2 linked regions of the Canis lupus familiaris genome follow. The protein of the gene in region 1 purifies or fractionates together with the protein of each later gene. This does not show direct contact. Links are inferred from orthologs where the notes say so. Each region holds a gene or a part of one and is shown in the gene's direction. Other genes may lie near its edges.

Region 1 (3,579 bases):
TCAGCACATCCATCACCTCACATAATTGCCACTTTTTCACTTTTTTTTTTTTTCACATTTTCTTAATTGATGTGGCAAAATGGCATGGCAGGGCTTTTCTTGCAAAGAAAAGTTTGGTGTGTTTCTCTGAACGCCTCATTACTTCATAGAAACATCTTTGAGGCCGGACTCTAATCTCCTTAAGGACAGTCCCCCCGTGGCTGCTTGCTCACAGTCCTGCAGGATCGTGGGGTGGGTGGGTGGGGAGGTTCAGACTATTATTTTTAATTGGAGGATAGTGGCCATGCAGTGTTACATTGGTTTCAGGTGTGCAGCATGGTGACAGGCAGTTCTGTACATGAGGAAACGCTCCCGCGGGGAGTGTGGTCACCACAGTCCCCGTGCGACGTCATGACAGTATCATTGGCCACTTTCCCCACGCTGCGCTTTCCATCCCTGTGACGTCCTTCCTTATACCTGGAGATCTGTGCCTCTTCGTCCCCTTCCCGTTCCGCCCATCCTCCCACCCCCCACCCCCGGGAACCACTATTCTCCGTATTTACAAATCTCTTTTTCTGTTTCTGTTCATTAGTTTTGTTTTTAAATTCCAGATATAAATGAAATCACATGGCATTTATCTTGCTCTGCAATCCTGCCAGCAATGCACATTTCCTATTTCTCCGCATCCTTGCCAACACTTTTTATTTTTCATCTTTTTGATTCTAGCTATTTGGACAGGTGTGAGGTGGCAGCTCCTTGTGGTTTTGGCCTTCCTGGTTCTAGCAGCTGTATGTGCATCCGTCACCTATGTCATTTCTTTCTGAAAGGGACCCGATCACGGAGACCTTCTGGGGCATGGTGTGGTGACTCTCTGGTCAGTCCCGAGGTCCATGCGCCTAGAAGCGTCTGTGCTCTCACTGCTGTGTCCTCGCTGGGCCTGGGCCACGGCCACTTAGTGGCTGTCAGGCGGGATGGTGCTCTGAGTGCTGCCGGGCAGGTGTCCTCTTGGACACGGGTGCAGGGGACTCCGCGCAGTCTGCTTGCTGCTCTCATGACGTGTGAATGTGGGGTAGTGAGTGTGTGTGAGGACGGAGCTCCTCAGGAGTTGAGAGGGGCCTGCAGGCCTCTCAAGTGAGGAGGGAGTGAGGAGTGCACAGGGGCTGTGCGGCTGGCACACTGGCCTGGGACGTGACTCCCCTGGCCTGCTGGGGGAGGGCGTTCCAGGCAGGTGGTGCACAGGCAGCGGGATGGACCCCCATTCCTTTGGGGACTCGCAGACTTGGAGGGCTGGGGTGGGCTGGGCACAGGGGCTGTGGCCATGCATCCGTGTTGTGCTGTACCGAGGGTGACAGCCCCCCAGTGAGCACGTGGGAAGTTCCACGGGCTACACTTTTAGTCTAAGCATCTGCGTTTTTATAATATGTAAAAAGTAGTGAATAAAGTCTCCCTTCCTGGGATCTTTGGATGTTCAGGGATAAAACGTATATAATCTGTCACATGTCAAGTTATCTTTTTTAAAGATTTTATTTGTTTATTCATTAGAGACACAGAGAGAGGCATAGACACAGGGAGAGGGAGAAGCAGGCCCACACAGGGAGCCCGATGCAGGACTTGATCCCGGGACCCCAGGATCATGCCCTGGGCCCAAGGCAGACGCTCAACCTCCTGAGCCACCCAGGTGCCCCTGTCACCTGTCAAATGAGATATTCCATCAATATTGGGAAGTATTGTTGGCAAATATTGAAATTGTTTCAATGACAGCTGAGTGGGGGTCTGTGTGCGCCAAGTGTTCAGAACGTCCCCCTCAGTGACCGAATAATGAACTGCAGGGTGGGTCACAAGTGGGGGAGTGAAGCGACGGGGTAAAGGTGGGGAGGCAAGGGGTGCTCGGGGGCAGGAGGAGAGGGGGGAGGGACTCGCTGTCTGCCTCGGGGAGTGAGTCCCTGGGGCCCGCTCCCGACCACCGTCCAGTACGCCAGCCGCTGGCCGCACGTGGCCGTGTAAGTGTGGACTCATGAAAAGTGCACAAAGCTGAAAATTCAGTCCCTCGGCCACACTGCCCACATTTCCACTGCTCAGTGGCCACAGGCGGCCAGCGGCCAGCGCCCTGGGCAGCATGGGAAGAGACTGTTTCCGTTATCACAAAAGTTCTCTTGGACAGAGCTGTTGGGGACCACTGAGCACTATTGTGGCAAATATTCTGAGGTTTGGCTGAGAATTTTAATTCCTTCGCAGGAGATTCTGATAGGTCTTGTAGTTGAAGCTTTTTTTCTCTGCGTTTTGTACCCGGAGGTGCACACAGTCTGTAGAAGAGCTTCTGGAAGTGTTGGCGGGTCCCCCCCTCCTGCGTTCTCTATTCGTTGTGGACCTGCCTAGTCAGAGAGGAAAGTTGAGGCACTGTAGGGGCGCGCACGCCCGCCTGGAGTCTGCAGTTGTTAGCATTTGGCTGTTTGTTTTACCACGTGTCTTCTGAGAAGGCTTTCTGTTTATGGTTTATTCACCGCAAACCTACCTTAAGGGACCCAGAACATGGGAGCTCCCAGACCCTCTGCAGTGTTCCCAGTTCCACTGGGAGTTAATCCCTGGGCCCCCGACTAGCTCCCCGCCCCCTGCCCGCGTCCCCTACCCCGTCTGGACCTGCTGTGTAGCGTCCGCCCTGCGCTGGCATGGCCTCCACGACACGGTCTGTCGCTGCTTGTCTCCCCTGGCCACCTCTGTGCAGGGCCAGGGAGAAGTCCCAGGTCCCGCTGATTGCCGGCACTCATGGGCTAGGGCTATGTGCACGTCCCGCTGTGCGTGCTTGGACAAAGGATGGGCTGAACTTCCCTACCCAGTTCTGGAAGCTGACCCACTGCCCCCAACCTCCCAGCAGCTTCTCAGAGGCGAGTGTGAATAACCGTGTGCTCTGGATCTCCTCGCAGGTGGAGCTGGAGGTCACGTTGCCTGGAGAAGGAAAGGACCGCATCTTCAAGGTGTCCATCAAGTGGGTGTCCTGTGTGAGCTTACAGGCGTTACACGATGCACTTTCGGGGCGGCTGCCCAGCGTCCCCTTTGAGACGATCCAGGCCCTGGATGTGGTCATGAGGCATTTGCCATCCATGAGGTAAGGACCAAGGAAGCAGGAGCGTCTGCTTCTGACCCTGACCGTTCCCTGGAGGTCAGGAAATCTCTGTCCAAGGATGAGTGGATTTTTGGAGTCAGGGAGGTGATGGTCATGGATTTCTATGGTGAAAATTATAGCACTACTAACATGAAACGTTTTTAATATAAAAATCAGTCACCGGGGGCGCCTCCCTGGCTCAATCAGTAGAGGATGTGACTCTTGATACCAGGATTGTGAGCTCGAATCCCATGTTGGCCAGACATTACTTTAAAAAAATAAAAAGGAAAGAAAAAGTCATCTCCAGAATTCTCAGACTAGCACAAAAAGATGGCCTGCCCGTCTTCGTGCACACTGGGGATTAGTGTTCACTTGCCCAACACTGTGAGCCCCGCTCCGTGTCTCTGTGGCCTTCACGCATGGGACTCGTAACAGTAGGGTGATGCTCCCAGTGCCCCCCGATGGAGCCCCCACCGCCCGGAGGACACAGGCTGCGGAGG
Region 2 (4,256 bases), on another chromosome or scaffold:
CCCCACCCCCCGACCCCTAGCCCCGTCCCCACTCGGCTCGAACTCCCGCTCCTTCCGAGGCCCCCGCCCCTGGCCCCCCGGGACGGACACGCCCTGAGCGGGGGATGCTGCGCTGGAGCCGCCGGCCTCTTAAAGGAGCCCGCCGCTGCCATCCGGCGCGCTCCAGGCCCGGCCCCGGCCCTCCGGGGCCCCGCGCCTCCCCGCAGGCGGGGTCGGGTGGCCGTCGCACCTCGAGCCTTGGCTGGTCCCCGAGGAGCCCCCTGTGGCCGGTCGGACACCCTGCCTGCTACGCCCCGAGACGGAGCCCCTCCGCGCGGGGACCCCGGCCGCCCAGCGCTCTGGCGCGGCTCCCCCTGCCTTGCCGAGCCAGCCAGCCGCCCTGCCCGTCGCCGTCACCACTCCGGCTCTACCCAATTGGAATCCGCCGAGCCTAGTGCCCGAGCTCCTCAGCGCCGTTCCGGGGCTCCCCCGGCTCTCCACTACCTGGCCCAGCCTCGGGACGCTCGTTAGAACCAGGCATTTTCGTGGTGTCTCGCCAAGGTCACGAGATTCTCCTACATCTTTGAACCCGGTGGCCGGGACACCCTAGGGAGGAGGGGCTGCAGCTCTGCACCCAGTTAGCGGGTTAGCGTTCAGAGGCCGGAGTCCTCTCCTGCTGTCTCTTCGGCCGAGAGACCCCAGACCCACAGCCGCGGGAACGAGACCACGGTGTGCGTGAGTCCTAATGCTGTCGCCCCTACAGCCCGATTCTCAGGCCCCAGAGAGGGTCCCGGGCCACCTACGGAGAGGTTCCCTGGGGACGGCCCAGCAAGGCTTTAGAGAAGACCTGAAACCAGACAGGCTGCGGGCCAGAACTAGGGGCAGGGAATGAAGGGCAACCCGGGAACACGAAGCAGGGGCTGTGAGACGAAGGCCCCGGGGCCGGGAGCGAGGAGGAACTGCGGGCCGCCGGCCGGCCGGCCCCAGCGCGGAGGGGCTCGAGCGCTCTCCTCCCGCGGCCAGGTGAGGCCACCCCCAGCCCGCGCCGAGCCAGGGTGCGACAGCCCCTCTTCCCTGGACCAATCGCAGCCTTTCCTCAACAAAGGGGCGGGGCCGAGGGGCTGCCTCGCTCCTGGCCCCGCCCCTCGAGGCTCAGTAACCAATCGCAACGTGCCTAGAGCGAGCCAGCGCAATCGGACACGACCAATCCTATCGCGGAGCTCTCCGCGCACGCCTGCGCCTGCCCCTGCGCGGCGACAAAGATGGCGCGCGAGCTGCCGGTCTCTGTAGTTTCCTCGGGAGCCTGCGGACCCGGCGCTCCGGTTAGGCCTTAGCGCCCCGCCCCCAGCCGCTTCCGCTCTGCTCCCGCGCATGCCCACTCCGGGGAGCGGAGACGCGGAAAAGAGGCGGGACGCTATTTAAAAAAAAAAAAAAATTCACACGCACAGACACACGGACACACGGACACAAAGCCACCCTCCGCTCGGGAGGCCACCGTGGAAGGCTCCGCTCCTCCCAGGAGGCGGTGCCGCATCCCCGGGCGACGCCCGCGGGGGCTTGTGGGGCGGGCGGCTCCCCTCCCGATGGAGACTCGGGGAGGCGGGTGGGCGGGGGACTCCATGTCCCGGCATGCCCCGCGGCGGGCCCGACCGGCCGCGACTCGGGGCTCGGCCCCGGCCCTAGCTCGTCGGCGGTGTTCTGGGGCGCGCGGAGGCTGCAGTCACGGTGGGGCCCGCGGGCACGGAGGTGGGAATGAGTGAAGAGGAGCAGGGCTCCGGCACCACCACGGGCTGCGGGCTGCCCAGGTGAGCCGCTTCGAGCCGACCCCTGCCGGGCGAGAAGCGTGGCGCGGCGCGGAGGTGGTAGCGGCGCGGCCCCAGCATGCACCTGGCCCGAGGGTTGTTCCCGGCAAGCACCGGGGTAGTGGGCCGTGGTTCCCGGCATGCACCCCGGCAGTGGCCACGGCCTCCTGCTCTAAATAGTTTGGGGTTGGCCCGGTTCCCAGACTGCACTTGGGGCACTGGGCTTTGTGCTCCCGACATTCAGTGCGTTTGGTGGGTACCGGGTCCCTGGGCTGCACTGTGTGGGGACATGCACCTCCTAACTGCACTGGGGTGCAGGATCCTCCTCCTGCTTAACTGAGACAGGAACAGTGCGTTGCCCGCGTGCTCTGGGGGCCGTGGACCCGGCTTCCAGCCCGCTTCTACTCCACACTGAACCCAGCCAATGTGTGCTGTACTGCCCGGGGTCCCCTGGACCCGTGTCCCCCCATAGTGTGCCTGGGTCTGATACGACAGTGCTTGGCCGGGTGGGCGCAGAGTTGGAGGTGTGATAAGGGTCCGTGACCCCCTGCCCCCGCCTCCCCCAGTATAGAGCAAATGCTGGCAGCCAACCCGGGCAAGACCCCGATCAGCCTTCTGCAGGAGTATGGGACCAGAATAGGGAAGACGCCCGTGTACGACCTTCTCAAAGCCGAGGGCCAAGCCCACCAGCCTAATTTCACCTTCCGGGTCACCGTTGGCGACACCAGCTGCACTGGTGAGGAAGGCTTGGGCAGCCTGGCTGGGGTGTGCATCCGCAGGGCCCTGGTGGCTTTGTGTCCTGGAGTCTCTCCCCAGTCCTTTGCTCCAAGGCCAGTGAGGGAAGGAGAGATTTCAGGGGGAAAAGCCACGGACTCGTTTGGGGGAACGGGTCTTTGAGGAGGCGGGTAGGACTCCGGAGAGTTAGAGGAGCAAGCAGGACCGCCAGAGGGGTCTGGCACATTGTCGTCATCCTAGAGGAGAAAGACGGGATGAACCAAACTCTCAGCGAAGTTTCGAAGGAGTGAGTGCCTGCTGCACTGGGCTCTGTTCCAGGTGCTTGACCAAATTCCTAGTTCGTCTTAAATCGCAGTCTAATCCAGGGATGTGGGGGATAGCACCTCCGAGCTGAATATGAGGGAGCCAAGGCTCGGGGTGGATGTGAGTGGTGCAAGGTCCCGGGCCTGAGAAGTGGCGGAGCGGGGCCTTGACTCCGGAGCCTGCCCTCTTTCTACTTTCCCAGACATCTCTATGTATTGAGAGAAAAGAAAGCACTTCCCAGAGGCAAGGAGAGCCGGGAAAGCGTCTCTGCCCAGGGTGTCTGAGCTCCAGAGCAGTCGTGCCTGGCGTGGCTTGATTTGGGGAGCTCTGGGGAGCAGAAGCCCTCCCTTCTAGTAATTAGCGCAGCACTTCCGGTCTTGGGCAGGGGCAGGTGGTGAGAGGGGCTTGGTTGACTCCCTCCAGCCCTGAGGAGAGAAGCTGTGGGTGCCGGCTTTTCTGTCCTCCTAGTGACCTCCAGTATCGCCCACGCCCCTCTCTCAGGTCAGGGCCCCAGCAAGAAGGCAGCCAAGCACAAGGCAGCTGAGGTGGCCCTCAAACACCTCAAAGGGGGGAGCATGCTGGAGCCGGCCCTGGAGGACAGCAGGTGAGGGAGGACCAGCCGAGGCCTCGTAGAGACCCGGCCAGGAACCCAGGCCCCTGCGCTACCTCCTCTGCCCACCTTGACCTGGCCGGACAGGGCGGGATGCTTCCAGGGCTCCCGCTGTTGTGAAGGATCCTGTGGGGGGATGTCAAGGGGCTGTGGCTGTGGTGTGGGCCCAGGCTAGGGAGGGAAAGGGGCGGAGGCTGAGGCTAGAGGGGTCGCACCCCAACACGCCTCCTCTCTCTAGCAGGTTGTCCTCCCCTCTTGCACACTTACATTGGGGTTTGTTGCCTCCGTGGCTCTTGTGTAGGAAGAGACCGTCTTTCCCCTTGTCTCAGTCGCTTTGATCCAGTGTTTGGCAGCAAAGGATCCCAGAAGGTGGTGGTTAAGCTTCCCTGAGTCTTTGGCTCCAGTGGGAAGGGGTTTTCTTAGGGGACGGGCAGGTCAGGAGGACCTGGGTCCCCACCCTCTACTCCCCACCCCACCCCTGCCCACATGGGTGTGAATCAAAGGCCCCCTTCCCCTCGGGAAGTTCTTTTTCTCCCCTAGACTCTTCACTGCCTGAGGACATTCCAGTTTTTACTGCTGCAGCGGCTGCTACTCCTGTTCCATCTGCTGTTCCAACCAGGTATCTTGTGTTCCTGCCTGCCTGAAGGGGGGAGGTAGGGGTCCCGGCTCCTGGCCCCCCAGCCTTTGGACCCAGGCTGGTCAGGCAGGAGGAAGTCTGAGAGTAAGCAGAGGATGGAATAGTTGGGGACCAGAATTTGAAGACTTTGCCTCAGTTGGTAAGCTCTTGGGACAGGAGGTAATCCACGATTCTTAAATAGCCACAGAGA

The links. The genes of interacting proteins can lie anywhere in the genome.
Region 2: the proteins of AGO2 (region 1) and TARBP2 purify together in Homo sapiens (co-immunoprecipitation; 10 studies listed by BioGRID and IntAct, with this or other methods). This does not show direct contact. The link is inferred for Canis lupus familiaris from reciprocal best matches to the Homo sapiens genes AGO2 and TARBP2.

Annotation. Positions count from the first base shown.
Region 1 is NC_049234.1:35,819,393-35,822,971, reverse strand, and holds part of AGO2 (protein argonaute-2), read left to right. Parts: intron 1-2,900; coding exon 2,901-3,082; intron 3,083-3,579.
Region 2 is NC_049248.1:44,930,533-44,934,788, forward strand, and holds the start of TARBP2 (RISC-loading complex subunit TARBP2), read left to right. Parts: upstream 1-1,446; 5' UTR 1,447-1,731; coding exon 1,732-1,784; intron 1,785-1,875; exon of another isoform or gene 1,876-2,033; intron 2,034-2,347; coding exon 2,348-2,517; intron 2,518-3,320; coding exon 3,321-3,423; intron 3,424-3,952; coding exon 3,953-4,048; intron 4,049-4,256. UniProt on the Homo sapiens protein: Required for formation of the RNA induced silencing complex (RISC). Component of the RISC loading complex (RLC), also known as the micro-RNA (miRNA) loading complex (miRLC), which is composed of DICER1, AGO2 and TARBP2.